Linked DNA regions of Kluyveromyces lactis. The protein of the gene in region 4 interacts with the protein of the main gene of each other region in a biochemical or structural test. Links are inferred from orthologs where the notes say so. Each region holds a gene or a part of one and is shown on either strand. Other genes may lie near its edges. The genes, in order: BSD2, PCK1, UBI4, RSP5, SIC1, KLLA0_E17447g and KLLA0_F18216g.

What was found.
Region 1: of the proteins of RSP5 (region 4) and BSD2, one has a biochemical effect on the other in vitro, tested with the Saccharomyces cerevisiae proteins (3 studies listed by BioGRID, with this or other methods). The link is inferred for Kluyveromyces lactis from reciprocal best matches to the Saccharomyces cerevisiae genes RSP5 and BSD2.
Region 2: the proteins of RSP5 (region 4) and PCK1 form a complex in vitro, tested with the Saccharomyces cerevisiae proteins (2 studies listed by BioGRID, with this or other methods). The link is inferred for Kluyveromyces lactis from reciprocal best matches to the Saccharomyces cerevisiae genes RSP5 and PCK1.
Region 3: the proteins of RSP5 (region 4) and UBI4 form a complex in vitro, tested with the Saccharomyces cerevisiae proteins (6 studies listed by BioGRID, with this or other methods). The link is inferred for Kluyveromyces lactis from reciprocal best matches to the Saccharomyces cerevisiae genes RSP5 and UBI4.
Region 5: of the proteins of RSP5 (region 4) and SIC1, one has a biochemical effect on the other in vitro, tested with the Saccharomyces cerevisiae proteins (3 studies listed by BioGRID, with this or other methods). The link is inferred for Kluyveromyces lactis from reciprocal best matches to the Saccharomyces cerevisiae genes RSP5 and SIC1.
Region 6: the proteins of RSP5 (region 4) and KLLA0_E17447g form a complex in vitro, tested with the Saccharomyces cerevisiae proteins (2 studies listed by BioGRID, with this or other methods). The link is inferred for Kluyveromyces lactis from reciprocal best matches to the Saccharomyces cerevisiae genes RSP5 and RCR2.
Region 7: of the proteins of RSP5 (region 4) and KLLA0_F18216g, one has a biochemical effect on the other in vitro, tested with the Saccharomyces cerevisiae proteins (3 studies listed by BioGRID, with this or other methods). The link is inferred for Kluyveromyces lactis from reciprocal best matches to the Saccharomyces cerevisiae genes RSP5 and RIM4.

The regions. Positions count from the first base shown.
Region 1 is NC_006041.1:1,664,471-1,667,107, forward strand, and holds BSD2 (Bsd2p), read right to left. Parts: upstream 1,452-2,637; coding exon 501-1,451; downstream 1-500. Other genes in the region: SNF5 (Snf5p), read right to left, coding at 1,852-2,637. UniProt on the Saccharomyces cerevisiae protein: Required for homeostasis of heavy metal ions such as cadmium, cobalt and copper. Controls metal ion transport and prevents metal hyperaccumulation by negatively regulating the SMF1 and SMF2 metal transport systems.
Region 2 is NC_006037.1:39,830-43,375, forward strand, and holds PCK1 (phosphoenolpyruvate carboxykinase PCK1), read right to left. Parts: upstream 2,133-3,546; coding exon 501-2,132; downstream 1-500.
Region 3 is NC_006041.1:74,448-77,233, forward strand, and holds UBI4 (ubiquitin), read right to left. Parts: upstream 1,647-2,786; coding exon 501-1,646; downstream 1-500. Other genes in the region: ECM29 (Ecm29p), read left to right, coding at 1-237. UniProt on the Saccharomyces cerevisiae protein: Ubiquitin exists either covalently attached to another protein, or free (unanchored).
Region 4 is NC_006041.1:1,196,644-1,200,932, forward strand, and holds RSP5 (NEDD4 family E3 ubiquitin-protein ligase), read left to right. Parts: upstream 1-1,489; coding exon 1,490-3,949; downstream 3,950-4,289. Other genes in the region: DSE1 (Dse1p), read right to left, coding at 1-543. UniProt on the Saccharomyces cerevisiae protein: E3 ubiquitin-protein ligase which accepts ubiquitin from an E2 ubiquitin-conjugating enzyme in the form of a thioester and then directly transfers the ubiquitin to targeted substrates.
Region 5 is NC_006040.1:496,957-499,650, reverse strand, and holds SIC1 (cyclin-dependent protein serine/threonine kinase inhibiting protein SIC1), read right to left. Parts: upstream 1,305-2,694; coding exon 501-1,304; downstream 1-500. Other genes in the region: GTPase-activating protein RGD2, read left to right, coding at 1-242; BOS1 (Bos1p), read left to right, coding at 2,011-2,013, 2,129-2,694. UniProt on the Saccharomyces cerevisiae protein: Substrate and inhibitor of the cyclin-dependent protein kinase CDC28. Its activity could be important for faithful segregation of chromosomes to daughter cells. It acts in response to a signal from a post-start checkpoint.
Region 6 is NC_006041.1:1,550,360-1,552,759, reverse strand, and holds KLLA0_E17447g (resistance to Congo red protein), read right to left. Parts: upstream 1,140-2,400; coding exon 501-1,139; downstream 1-500. Other genes in the region: UTP20 (Utp20p), read left to right, coding at 2,121-2,400.
Region 7 is NC_006042.1:1,676,304-1,680,357, reverse strand, and holds KLLA0_F18216g (uncharacterized protein), read right to left. Parts: upstream 2,628-4,054; coding exon 501-2,627; downstream 1-500. Other genes in the region: NPR3 (Npr3p), read left to right, coding at 1-59. UniProt on the Saccharomyces cerevisiae protein: Positive regulator of sporulation-specific genes and of sporulation. Required for premeiotic DNA synthesis and meiotic chromosomal segregation. May act in a nutritional signaling pathway.

The DNA.
Region 1 (2,637 bases), about 470 kb from region 4:
TTTCCATCTATATTGTTATGATATACAAAAAAATATAATACACATGTTTGCATATATCCACATGAGAGACATCAAACATGCCGAATAGCATCAGGTAAAAGGAACCATTGTATCATGAAATAGATTAAAAGAGTAATTTGGTCATAGGGTGCACTGAATTAAGAGAAGACAAAAATTTCCTTTTTGTTAGTTTCTGAAGAGGAACAATCATAGAGACAGCCTGTTTGTTTTATTATAGTGTATTTTTTTTTAATTTTGGATCCACAACAACTTAATGGATAGGATTACAGTTTGATTTATTCTGATGGGATGAACCATTTATTTATGAGTGTAGTAGTGTTAAACTCGAGAGTTTTGACCCTGCAAAGGGTGTCTTTAAGCTGCAAAATAGAATAGTGAATAAAAATGTGAATAGGGCAAAAAACGAATTGAATATATGAGAAAAGGTTGAAAGCAGTTAGTCTGCTAATGCTAATATCATGGAAGTCAAAAAGAGGATTTTAAACTTCTGCTGTTGCTGTTGCATCTTGCAAGAAGCGTGCCTCCATGCGTTTGACCTTAATGTAATCCCAGATACTCTTGATTATTATGAACCCACCTAACAGTATAACGAATATGGCCAATGCCGGTGTGTGCCGCGTCTTTTCCATTACTCCATGAGAAAGGTCCGATTCGAATTCATCCTGAGTAGAAGTACTTGTATATAGACGAATCTCTTCAAACGAATCTGGATTATCAAATGTAAACCTGTTCAATTCATTATCCTTTCCTATCTTTCCTGAAACATCGTTCGGTATCATGGAATATCCGTATCCAATGAAAGTTACCCCAAGTCCAAACCTGGACCCTTGCCTAGCTGCATGTGATGTATGTAAGATATAGGTCAACAAGAACCCGACAAATTGGAAACTGAAGCTGACCACAACGTTCCATAAGAAATTGAATATATTCCCAACTGGAAGGCCGTCGATGCAAATTTCGTTGTAATACAATCCAACGCCATCGTCGTCTATACCGTAATATGGTGGAGCCATATCAGCCGCAGCCTCGTCATACGTAGGAGGCTTATCCTGTTCCCCATTCCCATTGATACCGTTCCTTTCAGGTTTCGCCATAAGATTACTGAATACACCATCAGAACTCGCCCCGACTTGTAACCTCATCGCTTGCTCGCTTGAACTGCCGCCTCTAAACAGTCTATCTAATATATTGAACTTTCGGGCAACAAAGTTCAAATGTTGTTGGAACTGCCCATTCATCTGGTGCAGTCTAGAAGACGACGAAGTTGTCCCTGTTTCCACATCATCAGCTCTTGAAGATTCGGTTTCTGGCTGTGTTTGCAGCTGCGACTGCGATTGTGAAGGAGACAAAGTCACTGAGGAAGATCCACCGACTTCATCTTGGCTCCTGCCAACGCCACTTCCGGCTACGAATTCCGAATGCTCAGACATACTCGCCGCGTAGATAATCTCAGTAAACTCTACTACCCTCGAGTAACACTCAAATATGGCTGCTTTGATGAGTTTGTGGCCTCTGCATACCAAGTTTCTTAAAAGGGTTGGTTCGTTCAAATGTTAACGTTTCCATTACTAAATATATTTTTTGGTTTTGAGCTGTTTATGAAATTTAGAGGCTTACACCATAAAGAATGAAACAGGCACACATAAATATCGATATACGTAGAGGTGCGTGTCAAGACCCTCGAGTAAGCCCGCGATCATCGGCGTTCGGTCTCTCATAGCTATCTTCAGTGCTCTTTCTTCTAGCTTATTTATCATAGTATTTCTTAAAATTGTTACAGGTGGTACCACATAAATACATATGTACATATATATATATATAGCGAATTACTCATTGAATGGTTGTCTTCGCCTTTGGTAGCTTTATAGTGACGAGTAAAGATTTCCCAACGTCGTGCATAATAACTCTGCATGCTGATGAGTTTCTTACTTCCTGTTGGAATTCTTGTTTTGGAGTTGCTTTAGCTCTGTCTAAATATTCGACTCTAGTTGATGGCTGGAACGATAACGTACTTGGACCAACATCAATACCTCCAGGCAAAGTTGTTGTTGGAAGTAGTTGACGGCACGTTTTTGGGATATCCCCAAGATCAGGAAGTTCTGCATCATGGGGTAGTTGCGGTGTACTTCCGGACGATGGGTGATTTTCTGTATTGCCTCTTCTATTGAAACGAACTTGTCTACGTTTCCTTCTAGTGTCTCTGTCCTTATCCTTAACCAAACGTTCTAGTTCTGCGGGAGATATCTGTAATAAGTTAGGTGTGTATAAAAACGTATCCTTTTGTGGTCTCATTACGTCTGCTAAGGTGAGTACAGGCAAGAATCTTGTTCTGATATCGTCTTCTTCAACGGGGCTACCGTCAAATTTGTAACCAACCATATATAATGACTTGTGATACATGTGAACTTGTTCTCTAATGCAATGTGCAATTGCTGTTAAGAATTCACCCGGAAGGGATAGTTCTTCGCATAAACACTCCGCGAACGATTCTGGACAATTATCTGGATTTGACACATCCCATTCAACGGTATCTATCAATTGATGTTGTCCAACGACAATATCTAGGTTGATTTTTATTCTGAAATCATCGCCCCCGAACCTCTGCACATTTTCAAA
Region 2 (3,546 bases), on a different chromosome or scaffold from region 4:
CAGCATATATGGGATGAGATTAAAGATCTATTTAACCTGCTTTTATTCTTCGCTTAAGGATGATATTAATGATTTAATTCCTCCCATAAATAAATAGTATATCCAGATTAAAAGATACTAAAGCGTATGTATGTACTATAACCATATTGATAAAGGCTGTTAGTGATAAATTAAAAAGGACGAAAGTAATAGAAAAACGAATGAGAAAAACCCCAAGATATCTGTAGAATTTTCTTGTTATATATGTAGTCGAGAAAAAGATAGTTTCTAAATGCAAGAATCAAATAATCCGAGCCAATGGTATGTGTATTATTGTTAGTTGGTTTTTTATGAATCTCAGAATTTTATATTAATAATAATGAACCGGCTACGGTTGAGATAGTCTGGTTGAAGGTAACGGAAAAAGTGAAACTATGTTGAAGAGAAAATATTACTCAATAATATTTCACTCTGCCTCTTTTCGTTATTTTGGTATAGCACTTCTGTTGAGGACATTGTGATTATAATTGCGGACCAGCAGCTAAGACTTGTTCGGTAGCCTTATCTTGGTAGGTCTTGAAGTTTTCTACAAACAAATTAGCCAATGACTTGACATTTGAAGTGTACTTAGCTTCACCTTCAGCCCAGTTCTTACTTGGATTTAGTAGAGAAGCTGGAACCTTGTCACCCACAGCCTTTGGAATTTGCAAGTTGAAGATTGGCAAAACTTCATACTCTTCCTTAGCCAAAGAGCCATCGTGGATGGCATCTAGGATAGCTCTGGTGTACTTCAAAGGACAACGCTTACCACCAGCAACGTAAGAGGAACCAGTCCAACCAGTGTTGATTAACCAAGCGTTAGCGTTATGTTCGGCCATCTTTTCAGCCAACATTGTAGCATATTTCATTGGATGTAGAGACAAGAATGGTTGACCGAAACAAGAGGAGAAAGTTGCTTCTGGTTCAGTGACACCTTGTTCAGTACCAGCCATCTTGGAAGTGTAACCAGAGATGAAGTGGTACATAACTTGGTCAGGGGTCAACTTGGATACTGGAGGCAAAACACCTGAAGCGTCACAAGTCAACAGGACAATGTTCTTTGGATGGTGATCAGCTAGACATGGGATTTTAGCACTTGGGATGTATTCGATTGGGTAAGCGCATCTAGTGTTTTCTGTGATTGTAGAATCTTCGTAATCAACTTCTCTAGTGTTAGGATCGTAAATGATGTTTTCCAAAACAGAACCGAACTTGATAGCGTTGAAAATTTCTGGTTCCTTCTCGGCAGACAATCCCAAACACTTAGCGTAACAGCCACCTTCAATGTTGAAAACACCATGATCGGACCAACAGTGTTCATCGTCACCGATCAACAGTCTATGAGGATCAGCGGACAAGGTAGTCTTACCAGTACCACTCAAACCGAAGAACAAAGTAACGTCATTATCTTGAATACCTTGGTTGGCACTAGAATGTAAGGTGAGGACATTGTGATTTACAGGCATCAAGTAGAACATCACAGTGAAAATACCCTTCTTCATTTCACCAGCGTATTCGGTACCCAAGATGACCATTTCCATTTGCTTGAAGTTAATTTCCACAGTAGTCTTAGAAGTCATACCGGAGGTATGTGTGTTAGCAGGGAATTGACCAGCATTCCAGACGGTGAAGTCAGGTTCACCGAAATTTTCTAGTTCTTCCTTTGATGGTCTGATCAACATGTTCGTCATGAATAAGGCATGGTAAGCTCTAGCACAAACCACTCTGACCTTGATTCTGTAACGAGGATCCCAGCCAGCATAAGCATCAACAATGTAAATGTGATCCCTAGTTCTCAAGTAATCAGCAGCTCTTTCTCTGTTAATTTCCCAAGTTCTTTCGGAACATGGCTTATTTACTGGACCCCACCAAACGTTATCCTTTGAAGTTTCTTCTTCAACGATACGCTTATCACGTGGAGATCTTCCGGTCTTATCACCAGAGTAGGCAATCAAGGCACCAGCATTGGAAATGGCTGTGTCTCTTTCTTTTAAAGCATCTTCATATAACAAAGCAGCTGGAGCATTACGTCTGATGGTGACGACTTCTGCAGAAAGGCCAAGCTCAGCCCTAATATTCTCTTCAGCAGAATTTTGTGTCTTAGTTGGTGACATTATTTGATAATAGGTTTTATTTTCTTTCTTTTTAGTCGCGCTAGAGGAAAAGTCGATAACACGGTTAATTGAGTATTCTTAAATGGAGAAGAGTCAATTTATCGTATAGTATGAATTTTGGCTTTACTATTAAAGTGCTTTCAATGTGTAGAATCACTGAATTTTGGGTTTACTTTTATTGCAATACAACTGAGATAATATATAGCTACTATTGTACCTTATCAACACTTGAAATGTATCCATCAAACTAAATCATGAAAAACCATCGCCCTTATATATGATCATAAAAGATGAATATTAATCAATTCACGATATGACAGGACGAGAATAAATAATTGCACTTAATTACTAGATGGATAATTGATGTTCCAGCGAGTTATCTGACTCATTCTAGGCGATTTCAGTAAACAAGAGTCCCTTTCTCCCTTGGTTCGGTATCGATATAACTACGTTTTCTTTGATATCTATCTATGTGTCTGTTCGTTTCAAAATAAAATGTCCTGAAATGTCCTGAATGTCTATGTTTTATGTTTTTCGTTTGTCCGTTCCGTTGTTTGTCCCAGCGTGGAATTTGATTAAAACTAATTAACACACAAGGCAAGAACAAAAAAAATTGGGGACTTTTCAGTCTATACGGCACTTTCTCTAAATTTTTTTGTATTCAATAAGACCGGGATGTACAGACCAGTACTTGGATTGTTGGGAATAACGCCCAATTGCTCGAAAAATAGTTCCGAAAGATGTACGTTTCAACATTGAGTGTGGTGTGAAAGGAAAAACCTTGCCAGCCAAGTTCATGTCTGGCACTCGAAAATTTTTCCTTTCCCCCCTGTTGTTCTTTTGGTTCACAGGATGTAAGTAGGAGAAGGGGGACAAATTTTGGCAATTTGTTGTACCGCTCCGCTCCCGGGATGCCTCTGGGTAGATAGCGTGTGGGGCAAGAGGATACTGGAAAAAAACAAAATTTACTTCCCGGGTTGATATTGAAATGTGATGTACGGGTGATATTCCCGGGCATCTGCTCACTTCCTGCAAACCTTCGTAGCTTTATTTTTTTCGATTTTCATTTTACTTTCTACGTTCTTCATTGATTTCGGGTTCCCCGGTCGATCGCGTGGGGAATCGACATGCTAGTGTACAGCCGTATATGGTGGACCGGGGAAAGAGAATGGAACGGAGTTGGTGGCGTATAATGATTATATAATCAAGATTAAGTGGTTTCTTCGAGCGTTTCAGTGTCATTGGACTCCGAAGCCCGGGCTCATCTACAAACTCAAATAAAAGGACATTTCTGGAAGAGGGACAAAGAAGCTTGTTAATACCATCCATACGTACTTAGGTAATTTTATCGGTTGTAACCTTTCCCTTCCCGGGGTTGAGATGAGCATGTCCGAGAGTCTTCTCTTGGTACATT
Region 3 (2,786 bases), about 1.1 Mb from region 4:
TCCTCAAATGATGTATCTCACATTTTCATTGATATCTGGAAATATGGCCACGCTCTATGCAACAAGAAAGAAGTTATTGAAAGTGTCAAGATAAAGCTGATAAGGTATGGTGGGCTATTGAAAGAAAAGTTCCCCCACACCAATACCATGGTCGACTTTGGCATTTTGGAGATTCTTAGAGTGGATGACTCCTCAGTATTGAAAGCTGAAGCTTTAAATATTGGAATATCTCAGTAGAAATTGCCAACGGATGATATATTACTATCTTCTACTATTTATAACATTATCATAGTTGTTATGTATCTCTGAAAATGTATATAATATATACAAGACCCTAAACTTTTTATCCAAAGAATGTAAGGAAAAAAAAAAAATGCAAAAAAAAAAAAAATTGAATTGAGTATAAATGATACAACGGCTTTGCGTGGTCTCAAGCTCGTTAATAAACTCCCTATCGAGTTTCACTCCAGTAATCGGAAATATGAAATAAATCTTTACCATTAGATGCCACCTCTTAATCTCAAGACAAGATGTAAAGTGGATTCCTTTTGGATGTTATAGTCAGACAAGGTTCTGCCATCTTCCAACTGCTTACCTGCAAAAATTAATCTTTGTTGGTCTGGAGGAATACCTTCTTTGTCTTGAATCTTAGACTTGACGTTATCGATGGTGTCGGAAGATTCGACTTCCAAAGTGATGGTCTTACCAGTCAAGGTTTTGACGAAAATTTGCATACCACCTCTTAATCTCAAGACAAGATGTAAAGTGGATTCCTTTTGGATGTTATAGTCAGACAAGGTTCTGCCATCTTCCAACTGCTTACCTGCAAAAATTAATCTTTGTTGGTCTGGAGGGATACCTTCTTTGTCTTGAATCTTAGACTTGACGTTATCGATGGTGTCGGAAGATTCGACTTCCAAAGTGATGGTCTTACCGGTTAAGGTTTTGACGAAAATTTGCATACCACCTCTTAATCTCAAAACAAGATGCAAAGTGGATTCTTTTTGGATGTTGTAATCGGACAAGGTTCTGCCATCTTCCAACTGCTTACCTGCAAAAATTAATCTTTGTTGGTCTGGAGGGATACCTTCTTTGTCTTGAATCTTAGACTTGACGTTATCGATGGTGTCGGAAGATTCGACTTCCAAAGTGATGGTCTTACCGGTTAAGGTTTTGACGAAAATTTGCATACCACCTCTTAATCTCAAAACAAGATGCAAAGTGGATTCTTTTTGGATGTTGTAATCGGACAAGGTTCTGCCATCTTCCAACTGCTTACCTGCAAAAATTAATCTTTGTTGGTCTGGAGGGATACCTTCTTTGTCTTGAATCTTAGACTTGACGTTATCGATGGTGTCGGAAGATTCGACTTCCAAAGTGATGGTCTTACCAGTCAAGGTTTTGACGAAAATTTGCATACCACCTCTTAATCTCAAGACAAGATGTAAAGTGGATTCCTTTTGGATGTTATAGTCAGACAAGGTTCTGCCATCTTCCAACTGCTTACCTGCAAAAATTAATCTTTGTTGGTCTGGAGGGATACCTTCTTTGTCTTGAATCTTCGATTTCACGTTATCGATGGTGTCAGAAGATTCAACTTCCAAAGTGATAGTCTTACCAGTTAAAGTCTTAACGAAAATTTGCATGTTTTCTCTTGATCTAGTTTTAAGGGGAATGAGAGGGGGGGGGGTAAATAATTTGGGGTGAAATAGTATAACCTTGAGTCAGTATCTTCTATGAGAGAAACTCTTGATGCTCCTTCTTAACCAATATGATGTTGTTAATAATATCAGGAAACAAACTGCCAAAATAACCCTTTTGTTTTTATATATACTCCCTTTTTTTTTTAAAAAAAAAGGAACTTGTTCGCTTATTTCTTTTATTTTATCTCCCTATCAGTTCTTACTAATAACGGAGAATATAGCACAAAAAATGAAAATAAGAACAATAATGATAGCTGCTATGCTGTCCAAACTTTCAGAATAGATATATGAATGCGATATAGGTAGTAATAGTATCTAACCCGAATAATATCTTAGAAAAAGATAAACGTATTTAGAGAATAAACGGGGGAAAGAACAATCAGAAGTGGCAAATACGAGAGAAAAAAAGGCGGCCGCCCAAGTGATCACTATTTATATAAAAGCATCCAGTGTAATCAGTTTCGCTCGGCCTAAGGTGGCCGTTTGAAAAGAAAAATTTCCCGAGAGGGAATTCGATGGAAAACCGGCAGTTTGGAATCTGTTACGTTGCAGCCATCTCTGTATTTCAGCCTTGTATCTTTAACTGTTTGCAATGAATCTTTTCTCCGGCTTACAGATCGCCATGACTTGAGGTTTATGATTGCATGACGAAGAGCGGGGATATATGGAATGAACTGCTAACTTTGATTGTTCAGAGTAAAGAGCATACCGCTTTGTATCCACTGATACCTTCTGCAGTACAGTGTGTATATGCAGAGGTAACCATGGAAACTCATGGAACAATGAAGTTTATCCTTTTTTTTTAGACTTGCGGGGAGAATCTAAGATACAGACAGACGAAAAAAGTGACTCGAAGTCATCCACGTGATTAAATCAGGGTAACATACATCATATTTTATCTGCCTGGCTTCTCCTAAATTCATTCTTGACCTTTCAGATGCTCCCGGAACATACCCAGGCCAAATATCTCTGTCATTGAGGTTCCTGGCGGGATAATTCGGACTGCCCAGAATCTCTTCGATATTACTTGTCTTATAGTCCTAGATGACACTTTTTTTTCGACTCTTTTTATGATAGCGGTGT
Region 4 (4,289 bases):
TTTATCATCGAAGGAAACTACGGTGTCATTATTCTGCGATTGCATGATATCTGTAGCCAGAATAGATTTTCCTGGAACAGTAATGGTTTGTAAACTATGGAGCAATTTCCCACCGCGAGCCTGCTCATTAATTTCATTATTCCGCAATTGGAACAACTGTAAATTATCCGATGTCTGTGATGTGGAAAGTAGAATGGTGTCCCTATCCAATGACATTGAAGTGACGTCCCTAGTGTCTTCTGACAGTTTCCAACAATCTGTCTTCAATTTTTTCGTGACAATGACATCGTTCAAATCACCACTAACCTTCCTTAGCAAGGAACTGTTCAATTTCGAAGCCTCTATCTTGCAATTCCGCCTGACAATAGTACTGTTCTCGTCATCGCTAATATCTCTTCTACTCTTCTTGACGATGATGGCGTTCTGTCTGAATATCTCTGGAGCCCTGTAGAATTCAGTCATAATTTTCGCAATATACAGTTTCTTATTTGACTTTGTGTAATGTTTGCACTGCAGAGAATAATTGATTGTTAACAGGTACATCCATTAGAGGAGTAAGAGCTGGTCACTTTTAGAAACGACATGTTTATATATGATACAGGGCAAATAAAAATAGCACTAGCAAACACTGAGCCAATCAAAAATAGGACCAAACGCAGAACAAGCAACAAAAATTAGAGAAAGGCACGTTACCTATTGAGTGTGTTAGGCAGCCATATGAGCAAACATCCTGTTTATGTTTGCAAGAGGTTTGTTTACCTGTAAACAAACCCAGCATCTTTAAAGCTGGCAAAGGCTTGTTTATATTTATGTCATTTTGGACGATATGATTTTTGTCACGTGATGCCCATAATCGTCCCATATGCACGTCATCTGACAGCAATACGGCAGATTCTTGCAACCTGGTGGCTACCACCGCCATTAATGCCGTTTCCGAATTTACTGACATACTCGGCGTAGCCTGGTATCCCTCTTTAGTACTCTTTTTCCAGGTTTCAATCTCCTCACGTGACAAGTAAAGGAGAAAAGAAAATTGTGATTTGCATATTTTAATTAAGGAAACAAAACAAGAACAAAGATACTTTACTTGCAAACAACATCCGATTTAATCATCAGATCAAGGTGCTAGAGGATAAGCAAACGTGCATTGACAGTGGCAAAAAGGACGGTACGGAAAAGGGTATTGAGCAAGGTATTGATCTGATTTTTCTTTGCTTCTTTTTAGAGGAATCATCAACTTTTTTTCTGGTTCTGTTTCCTGTTCTGTTTCTTTGCAATTACGACAATTAAAGAAGACAAAAGACAAAAAATAAAACCTTATAGGCTTTCTCGGGCGGTTTTATTTGTTTAATAATTATTGCTGTTACTACCACTTATCAGATATCTAGTGTTTGAAGACTTTTCAATTTGTTATTGAGATTCCACTTTGAAGGAGAAATTATCGGATTTGAAATTGACAAACCATTAAAAAAATAAAAAGCTGCGAAATATGTCTATCTCTGTGAAACTAGTGGCTGCTGAGTCATTGAACAGGAGGGATGTGTTTAGATCTCCTGATCCGTTTGCAGTTTTGACTATCGATGGTTCTCAGACGAAATCCACAGCGGCTGCAAAGAAGACGTTGAATCCCTACTGGAATGAAGTATTTCAATTCAAAAATGTGAGTGAAAATTCGATCTTAACTGTTCAAGTGTTTGATCAGAAAAAGTTCAAGAAGAAAGATCAAGGGTTCCTAGGTGTTGTCAACGTTCGTATTGGTGACATTCTGGGTCACTTGGACGAAGATACTGCCACTTCGAACGGTAGAGCTCGTGAAGAGACTATTACTAGAGATTTAAAACGTTCTAACGACGGGTTGTCAGTAAGTGGTAGAATAATATTGGTTTTGACGGTTCTCCCCAGAGCTGGCAGCCGTAATGGAGCTGCTGGTGCCGCAGGTAGTGCTGTTGCTGGTTCCGGAGCAGCTCGTCAATCGGATTCGATGACGAACGCTTCCACTATCGACAACAGATTGATTGCTCAGACTGTTGCTAACAACTTGCAAACTACTACATTAGACAACCAGGATTCTGCGAATGCTGCAGGTACCGCCAGTTCAGGTTCAGGTGCCGGTTCAAGTGATGCTGCTCCATCCGGTCAACCTTCGACAGCTCAATCTCAATCGTCAGCTAGCAGGCAATACTCATCGTTTGAAGATCAATATGGTCGTTTACCCCCAGGATGGGAAAGAAGAACGGATAACTTTGGAAGAACATATTATGTGGATCATAATACAAGGACAACAACATGGAAAAGACCCACTTTGGATCAATCCGAGGTTCAACGTGTCAACACCGAACTAGAACGTAGACAACACAGAGGAAGAACTTTACCTGATGGTGGTGCTCAATCAGAGGGCTCGTCTTCATCAAACGTTGCTGTTCATACCGGTACTGGATCTCAAACTCCTGCCGTAAACGGTTCAGCAGCTGCTACTTTTGCTGCCACTGGGGGTACCACATCGGGGTTGGGTGAACTTCCACCAGGTTGGGAACAACGGTTCACTCCTGAAGGAAGAGCGTACTTCGTTGATCACAACACAAGAACCACGACATGGGTCGATCCAAGAAGACAACAATATATTAGAACCTATGGGCCTTCCACAAATACCATACAACAACAACCTGTATCTCAGTTAGGACCTTTGCCTTCTGGTTGGGAGATGAGATTGACAAACACAGCCCGTGTATACTTCGTTGACCATAACACTAAGACCACCACTTGGGATGATCCTAGATTACCTTCTTCCTTGGATCAAAACGTTCCACAGTATAAGCGTGACTTCAGACGTAAGGTTATTTACTTCAGATCCCAACCGGCTTTAAGAATTCTACCAGGTCAATGTCACATCAGAGTACGCAGAAAGAATATCTTCGAAGATTCTTACCAAGAAATAATGAGACAAACGCCAGAAGACTTAAAGAAGAGACTAATGATCAAATTTGACGGTGAAGAAGGTTTAGATTATGGTGGTGTTTCAAGAGAATTCTTCTTTTTACTATCACACGAGATGTTTAATCCCTTCTACTGTCTATTTGAATATTCTGCCCATGATAACTATACTATCCAAATCAATCCAAACAGTGGTATCAACCCTGAGCATTTGAACTACTTCAAGTTCATTGGTAGAGTCGTCGGTTTAGGTGTATTCCATAGAAGGTTCTTGGATGCATTCTTCGTTGGTGCTCTATATAAGATGATGCTAAGAAAGAAGGTAGTATTACAAGATATGGAAGGTGTCGATTCAGAAGTCTACAACTCCTTGAAATGGATTTTAGAAAATAGCATAGATGGCATTTTAGATCTAACATTTAATGTTGATGATGAAAGATTTGGTGAACTGGTTGTCGTCGATTTGAAACCAAACGGCAGAGAAATCGAAGTCACAGATGAAAACAAGAAAGAATATGTTGAACTATATACCCAATGGAGGATCGCAGACAGAGTTCAAGAACAATTTAAGGCATTTATGGATGGATTTAACGAATTGGTTCCTGAAGATCTAGTCAACGTGTTTGATGAACGTGAACTTGAATTATTGATTGGTGGTATTGCAGAAATTGATGTTGAAGACTGGAAAAAACACACAGATTATCGTGGATACCAAGAGTCTGACGAAGTTATCCAGTGGTTCTGGAAATGTATCACTGAATGGGACAACGAGCAAAGAGCACGTTTGTTACAATTCACAACTGGTACATCGCGTATCCCGGTCAATGGATTCAAAGATTTGCAAGGTTCTGATGGTCCAAGAAGATTCACTATCGAAAAAGCAGGTGAAGTTCAACAACTACCCAAGTCACACACTTGTTTCAACAGAGTGGATCTTCCACCATACACTGATTATGAATCTTTCAAGCAGAAGCTAACATTAGCAGTGGAAGAAACCATCGGATTTGGACAAGAGTAGTTGAATGAATCTTTCAATCTTTTCAATACCCTGCACCTTCTCAATTATTCAATCAGAAAGCGCAAGCACAAACACAAGCACAGACATATATATGTTATAGATATATTGTTGCCAAAACATGTGTATATTATTACATAGAAATTTTTTTCTTAACCTCGTTAGGCCTCAACTTATGGTGCTTTGTTATATTTTATTGCCATTATCAGGTGTTACTTTATATAGGTATGCTATAATGTGGGAAGCAATTGACAACGAAGTATCTGGTTCCTAACCGACGGAGTTTTGTAATTGCCCAGAGATTGATATATCCAGCTTAAATTTTGGGATAATAACGAAAATT
Region 5 (2,694 bases), on a different chromosome or scaffold from region 4:
TCACAACCCATTTCGAGAGACTAATTGAAATCATTAGAATGAATAAATCTGAAGAAAGTCAAGAACTTGCAGAAAATTTACGGGATGCCATTAGCCAAGAGTTTGCAAATTGCCTAATACATCCAATTCTGCCAACAGCTAATGAACTTGGATACAAAGTATTTGAAGATTTGTTGAGGCATAGAAAGAAAATCTTCAAAGAACTCAAGAGAAAAGGATCAAATCCATCATCCAGGGGTTGATGAAGGGTTTTTGTTAATATATATGACTTTTACATAGAATTAACACTCTGCGACGATCAAAAACGACAATCTTATTTCACTGAAATATTCTACGAAAATTATCGTAAGTATTGTATTTATAAATATGATGTTTTAGCAGTTTTTGTTATGTAGTGTTACAGGGGAATTCCATACCCTTCTTTCCTTATGAATTGTGTCGGTACCGTTAGCTATAGTTAAAAATAAAAAATAAAAACCCGTTTTATTCATGTGTCTTACCTACCCATCATGCCTATCTATTTCTTCAGCAAAGAGTCTCGTAGGTTTAAACCTTTGTTTCTCATCGTCAGTCAAATGTCTTTTAGAAACGACCTTCCCTCCTTTATTCACATAAGTGATTGTATCTTCCAAATCAGGGTCCTCAAGTAGCATCTTCTCTTTACGTTCTTTTCGCAGTTTTTCATCAGCAATATTATTCGAAAGAAATGGATTCTCTAAATTACTATGTTGGTTGACTGCCGTAGGTTGTTGTTCAATATGAATATTTTCTTCTTCGTTTTCTGATTGCGATGTATTCAGACCAGACTCGTTATGCCATTTTCTAGCAAGTTCAAAGGTGGTGATCTTGTCACTTGGAGTTCCTGGCTCTTGTTTAGCAAGTTTGAATTTGTTATTGACAGCATACTCATCATTGATATTATAACTTTGAACGCCTTTGAAAGACTCCATTATACCGGTTCTCTTTGGTGGTAGCAAAGTCCTGTTGTTTGAAGTTTCTTCTACTTGGAAATCCGATCCGAACAAGACCCTACTGACAGGTTGTAACTTCTCCTGGTCAAACTCTATCCTGCGTTTCGTATGTTTGTTCTTATGTGGGGTATATTCAGGTGTCTTTAATGCCGGGCATGGACTTGTTAAATTCATGGGTCTAGTAGGTGGCTGCAATCTATCCTTTACTCTAACTGTCCCCGGAGTAACCATGCCAGAGGAATCAGATTCCGCGGCTCGCTCTGGAGTTGCGAGCAGCAAATCTGTCTTATTTGATCTCTTATTCCTAGAACTTGGAGGGGTAGCTGGGGTCATTATTATGGAAATAAGAGTGTAATGCGTAGAATGCAAAAAAAAAAGAGGATAAACTCTAGTATTACCAATTGAAAGCTATTGATATTGTTTTCAGATGTATCGGTGTGTTGATGAGATCTAAATGAAAAGTAGCAAAGATGGTATAGAATGTATACTATACCGATGATATCCCTTTTTCTGTCTAAAACAAAACGGACTGAAAATCTGGCAACTTATAATGAAGCAAAAAGCAGAGTAGGTTGAAACCAGTTTCCAGTAACCTCACTATCGTCAAGAAGGAATTTGATATGAAGAGACTCTGATTCGATTACTTAGGTGCGTATGCAACCGCTCTATGCTGGATATGGTTCGCTGTTAAACTATCTTTATATATAGATATATGTGAGACTCAAAACCAGCATCTTTAATTTTTTTTTTAATGTGAACCACTAATAATATTGAACCAGCAACAATTTAGCAGTCATACTTGAGTAGCAGTAAATAACTTCTAAACAAGGATTGCGTCTGTGAGCAGTGGAACCACTGGAAACTAAGAAAGTTTATGGAACATTCATACGCATTGGGATAATTCAGATCGATCAGAATTGACGATTGACGCTCAACGTTTGACTCAGCATTTTCCTGTATTTCTCAAGAGTATTCCTTTCTTGAATCTTTTGGATCTTCATTAGCGATCAAGAATTTTTGCGATCACAACAGGGCTAAGATGGTATGTTTCGCTGGAGCGCTGCTCTAATTGTATTTCTACATTTATAGACACGCGTCGCGTATGTGTTACTTATTTACTAACTTACCTTAATTATTGTTTCCCACGATATCACTAGAACGCGTTGTATAATCATGCCATCAAGCAGCGAAGTCTTCTAAATAAAGACTTGGGTAAATTTGAGAAAGAGCTCGTAACAGCGCCGATCTCTTTGCAAGGGGCGATCGCCACAACCCTTGTTTCTTTCGAGAAAACGCTTCATCAGTACAAGGAACAATACAAGCAATATCAAATAAATAGTTCAGATGACAACGACGAAACTAAACTAAAGTATGAGACGAGACTTCAGACCTTAACACAGGATTACGAAGATGCAAAAGAGAAATTTACCGAATTGAAGCAAAAATACTCAGAAATTAATGCGAGAGATCAGTTGTTCAACCAGCAAGCATCAATGGTGGAAGAGACCGTGATGAATAAAAGGAACATCAATGCTCCTCCGCAAACATCTTTCGGAATAGGCGCCTTAGATCAGAACAGTGAAAGAATGACTATCAATTCGGCGGCTGGTTTACCACTATATGAAGGATTGAGGAAAGAGAACTCGATCTTTGAGAGAGGCAACGCGCACTTGGACAGAATATTACAGATGGGACAGGAATCTTTGGAAGATATCATGGAACA
Region 6 (2,400 bases), about 350 kb from region 4:
GAAACGGCAGCTGGCTCTTTTAATACTCGAAATCCCCAACGTCGATCGAGAGCCACAGCGTCGGTTAGTAAATGGAACTGGATTCCATACCAAGGGTTTTATCAGCGCGGTAATCGTGGATATAGTCTTTTGTAGGGTGTTTATAGGGTCTCGTCTTTTCAGGGCTTGGCAAGGTCATTCTGAATGAAACGGCCATCGCTGGTAACAGAAAAGCCTTGTTATGACCAGACATAGTACAATAGTAGCCGATGCAAAGAAGATGTTGTAGTGTGACTCATTGCACAGGATATTAGCCGAATACGAATGCCCTGGATTTCCTTATAATACATTGTTACATAGTTAGTTTGATATTAAATACGTATGGAAGAAGAGTGACATTTTATACACGTTTTCTGTAAATAGGTAGGTGAAGATGGAGAGAGAGAGAGAGAGAGAGAGAGAGAGAGTCGATGATGTGTAGAAAGTTTGTTGAAGATCATTTAATGGCTTGTATTACGTTTTCACCGGAGATTTGTAGCAGCCGGTGCTTCAGGGATTAGTGTTGACACAGATGATGACCGTCGTTGTTGGGCTGATTCAGGGTTTTGTCGAGAGGCTTCTACAGTCTCCGATTCAGGTACATCATTATATGCCGGCAATTGCTGGGCCGTAGCCGTGGTCCGTTGCATTTCCAAATCTATCATATCCGTATCCCTATCGTTTCGATGCTCTAGCACATACGCATCTATCGGTGGTGGAGGGTCGGCTTTACTGTTCACGTGGAATATCCCATCACGATCGTAGTAACCCAAATCGTTTTCATTTGCTTCTTCTGTGTACGGAGGCACGTAATCTGCCAATGGGACATCTGATCTATTTCTTACAGCTTCTGATTGTCGGTATGTGGGCGGAGTGAGCCATGACACGTATCGAAGTGGTTGTTGTCCGTTACGCCTTCTTATATAGTTTATTCTTATCGTAGTGATGACAAATGCCAGTAAGATGAACATGAATATAACGAATATTACCCACCGTGCCCATTCCCAGTGGGAGGAACACGAGAGACCCCAGCAGTTGTTATCAATATCAGCAGATGTAGTGGTAGCACTTTGAACAGCGCTGACAACACTGGATGGCGTAGATGTAGTTGTGGTTGACATAGCAGGCGAAGTAAGAGCAATATTAGAACCCGGAAAAGATATACTTCCCTTGTTTATTCAATTAGTAAGTTCAGGAGTCCTGCTCTTGGTGTTGGGTTAGCCCTCTTTGTTTTCCGATCCTTTTGATCGAAGGTCTTGTATATCAACAGACAAAAAAGGGGACGAGAAGCGACTTGTAACAAAAAATCCAGTGGGAAATCCTCCTTTCAGCGATAGCTTCGTGTGCAGGTTGGATTTCAAACTCCTATCGACTGCCCTCTGGAGTCCTGCTGGCATATCCTTGTTGCAGCAAGAGTAGCGAGGAAATCTGATCGCGAATCATGACAAATTTCATTTAAAAACGACTATTCCCCATATGCAAATATATATCAGTATATATAATATATCAAGAGACCGATGGAGAGAAATACTGGAAATTTAAGAGAAAGGATATACCTATTTTACCACGAATGTCCAGAAAATGTTGCAGAGCCTCAAATATAACCAAGTTGAGTTCCAAAATCAGCACTACTTCTGCGCTACATAATGTTTACCAATTTTTGTATAATGAGACGATGGAGTTTCTTATTAGTTGAAGTTCTATCATTACCTCGCGATTCTAGGTTGGATACTCTCAACTTATATATTGTAGCGGTTCTACTATTAGTACTCCCACAACTATCGTACCTTCCTGGCCCGTTAAAAACACCTCATAAATGATCAGTGCTGGCGGTCAGTCCTGTGGCCGTAGTCGTCCTCCAGATCGGCCCTGCGTAAAAAGAAACTGGATTTCTTCACGTTCCATTCTAGGTAAAGGGAAAATTTTCAGAATTTGGAAAAGCATGAAAACTCATCTCATCTCATCTCATCGCATAAACAACAAACACAAGAGGGTCTACACACAGTAACTGTCAATCACCAGTCATACAAGACCTGCTTCAGTACATTGATATAACATTGAGGACTAGTCTTGTTCTGTTTCCCATTTTAAAATAATCAACCATGGGTAAGCAAAAGACTACAACGAAATCTACCAAGAGGTATAGATACTCATCTTTCAAGGATAAGATTGATGATTTGAAGATTGAACCTGCTAGAAATTTGGATAGAAGGGTTCATGATGATGTAGAGACCTCCCATTTTCTATCCTCTTTTGAACACTGGAAGGATATCAATTTGAGTGGGAATTTCGGATCCTTTATGGATTCGGTAGAGAAATTGGTTCAAACTTTGCCTCAACTTTTGTACCATGAGGATGAAATCTTTGCGAATTTGGAGCAAT
Region 7 (4,054 bases), on a different chromosome or scaffold from region 4:
AGATAAAAAGATTGCTTCAGGCCTTAGGTAAGTACATCGTTGAAGTAAAACACTGGTAAATGCCCTATCCCCTTACATTGTTATTCTTCTAATCGATTCTACGCACAGGATTTTGTCAATGCATAATAATTAAGTACTATATAATAAGCCATTTTTGGAGTTGCATAACTTTATGTCATAACTAATCAATTCACTGTGTTTTATATTTTTTGTTTTGCATGTTGTAACCATAACAGTTTGTAATTCCGGAGAAGCTCGAACAGAAAACATATCTATATATATATGCCATGCATGTAAAGTTTAAGATGATATCTTAAGTTTATTTATCTAAAAGAGAAGGACATGTACAAATGAAACGCCACTGGGGAACATATTATAAGACGGTGCCGAGTATATGCCCTGTGGTTGACTAAAAAGAAGGTGAAAAAGAGTTAATCACTAGGAGGGCCTAAGATAGTGCAATGATTACGCTAAAAAAAAGTAGAAAGAAAATGACATATTCAATAGTCGAGGTCTGCTTTATCATGTCCAGAGACAGAATTATCCAAATAGTTCATACCGCCAGGGTGTTCGTGTGGGAATGGATTAGTAAATGTCGGTGTAGGAGGTGGCATAGGGAAGTAATAAAAGAATGGGGAATGTTGAGAAGGTGGACACTGTCCCGTCAAGTGAGCGCCCGGCTGAATCAAGTGAGAGGGCGGAGGGCCAACGGGGCTACCAGAAGGTGGACAGTACTCCATTGGGTAGTACACTGGCGGGCCGTAGTAGAAATTTGGATCCATCCTACCATGCCTTGGTGCATCTACATTTCTTCGCTTCTTGTAACTATGATTCTTTTGATAAGAACCAGTGTTATGCGCATTGTTATGTTTGAACGTTCCAGTGCCTGCGCTGAAAGTTGTGAATGATGAGTTGGACTCGTGTTCTAAGAAATGTGTGTCCTCTGCATCATTGTCTTCATCGACTTCATATTCATCATCTTCTTCTTCAATTGTGCTATTTTCGATATCGTCTTTTGACCTATTGAAGTGGGTACTATGCATTTGCTGAGGACCTTCTAGATAAGCATTTTCTTTTTCAACTCCATTGTCTGTTTTGTTGGGATAATTTTTGCTTTCTGTGCCATAAACATACTGGTTACCATTTTCATTATAAAAACCTTGTGAACCAGTATTGCCAACGAAAACATGATTATGGTTGTGGTAGGATGATGAGCCTGAGTTTATAGTATTTCTCCTTGGTTCTTGTATCGTAGCATACACATAATGAGATGGCAGATTTGGTTGTAAATGATTTGGTAATGGATACATGTATTTTGAAAAAGACCCTGTACTTGCTCTCCTTCCTATATTCAAAGGCGGAGGTGCCAAGTTCAACTGAGGCCCCTGGAATGACTTATTGGAATCAATTGAACTACGCCTTGAATTAGATACCTCTCTGATCTGCACATGCAGTATTTTCTCCACGAATATTGAATGATTCTCTCTTTCCAACGCTTTTGCAGCTGATGCCGGAGTCTTGTACTTGATAAAGGCAAAGCATTTCAATTGTTCCTGCTTGTGGATCAAGTTGCAATTGTCGATTTCTCCATATTTTGAAAACCTTTCCAAAAGTAATGGTTTAGTAACTTTAAAATTCAATTGTCCTATGAATATGGACTTGTTATCGATGAAAATTGGTTGCTTACCGAATCGTTCTCTTTCTAATCGTTCCTTTTCGCAAATTTTAGCCTTTGAAAGTAGCAAATTGAACCTTGGAGGAACATCGACATTTTGTGCCCATTCCACCATGTATTCGTAATTGAGTTTCATTTGCAAATATGCTCTAATCGCATCGTCCCGATAAGCGTATTGGATAAACCAAGAGTTTGCTACCTCACTTGGATAATAATTTTTCTTATACATTTGGTCTCTGCTAGGGACAACTTGTTCCAATTCCCCAAATTTACTCATCAAATCTACCACTTTTTCAACAGTTAATTTTCCCTCTAGTGGATTAGCAAAACTTGACGAGATGAATACAGTTCTGTTGACCTTTGCTCTTTCACAACGAATATTTCTATTGTTTAACGTTGTACCTTGAGCTTGAGATAACGCATTCAATGCTTCATCGTCTGATGCATATTGAACAAATGCGTAAGGCCTGTTTGCTGGATCACGCAATACTTTCACAGACACAATTTTACCATATTTCGCAAACTCTTTTGTCACGGATGCGTTGAGTTCGGAATCACTAAGAGTGGCCGCTAAAGACGCAACGAAAATACAAGACGATGGTCTTGAAAAGGAAGGGTCATCAGAGGATCTTGGAGACGGTTCATCCAACAAATTAGTAGTATCCTCATCTGAATCTGTTTCTGATTCACTTGCTATTTCAGAAAGCTGTTCTGGCAGCAAGTTTGTTAAATTATCATCTAACAATGATTGACGGTCGATTTTAAGAGCAGTCAATTCCTTTTCTAAATTGATGACAGGTTTATCTGAAGAAATTTCCTCTTTATTTTTGGTTTGGTTTTCAGTTTCATTCGACCTTTGCCTTAATATTTCACCTGACTCATTGGGTGAATCATTAATCACAATACGGTCTTTAAAACTCTCGTTGATGTTTTTCGACATATTGGATGACATTACTCTTTGTTGTTTTCTTTTTTTAGACGTTAGGCACTATTAAGGTTTTCGGCTTTCCTCCTCTGTGCAAAAAACGAAAAAAAAGTCAGATCTGTAAAAAGGATGAATCAATAGTGATGTGACAAATTTTGATTCCTCAAATGACAAACTTCAGAACAAAGAAACTGTTTTGATCAAAACGGTTCGATGAATCTGTGGGTTCGAAGCAGCTAGTTATGATTTAGCCTTCTTAATATAATTTGACCTGAGCAACGTTATTGATATGGCACGCTGTGGAGAAAATATTGGTCACAAACCCTATTTAAAACGATCTATGATTTGCCCTGTTTGTTCGGAGAATGGAGGTGATAGAAAGATATTGTATCCCGAGAAATAGAAAACCTTTTGCCGTGGATCTTCTTGCGTCGTGAAAATCGTGCAATTTTTTTCTCACTTTGGGGGGGAATATGCGCTTTTCCTCTGAAACTTCAGCTCCGGTTTTATTTCTCAAAAAAAAATTTGTCTTAATTTTCAAGTACTGCGGCAAAGTGACCTGGCCAAGAGAGGGAAAAAACAAGTGGACAAATAGTATAAATATGTCCAGATAGCCCCCTACTTTTATTTCTAGGCGATATAATCTCGGAATTTGTAATGGAATAAAACAATGTGCTCCTTTATTCGTACGGTATGGTCAACAGTCTTGTAACGTGCGAGTGTACTTTTGCCTTATGTCGGTGATCTATTGGATTATGGGTTCGTTTCCTCTCCTCAATATTAATATTTGATTGAAGGAGAAGGAAGGAGAATCAGAACAGCTAATAAAACACAAGATAATAAAGATATTGTGTAAAGATAGGAAGGAGAACACAATGAGGGAGAAAGGTATTGCAGCTTAAATCAATTTATAATTGATCGGTTATTATATTTTGAGTGCAGTTTTCACTGTTTGATATGTGTACGAGTTCAAAACAAAAATATGAAAACTGGATATAATAAAAAACAGGGATATAATAATGTTTTGCAATTGTGTGGAGGCAAGTTTTGAAATAAAACTATCTTTCAAAAGTTCAGAATGCTCCTTTGTTGAATATTTTGTCCCTGTATTATCTTGTGACTCTTTGAACGGTCTTTTTCCAGTTCAAACTTGCATTGGCTGCTAAAAAAAAAAGTACCAAACGAAGCCAAATCGGGTAAAAATCTGAAAATAGAACTGTAGAGACTGTTCTCAGAAGCCGAAAAGGATTTCAGCGAAACTAATAGAGTCGTCGTAGAAAGAATATCAGATGATGAAATCGGCCAATGCTTCAGATGACAAATTCGACTAGCTATATGAAATAACCCAAATTATGCGTTCTTGTACTCCAAAAGAAAGAAGAAATCAAAGTAAAAACAGAATTCTTGATTGCGAGGAGCTAATCTCAGATCTAACAAGTATGAAACTCGATAGG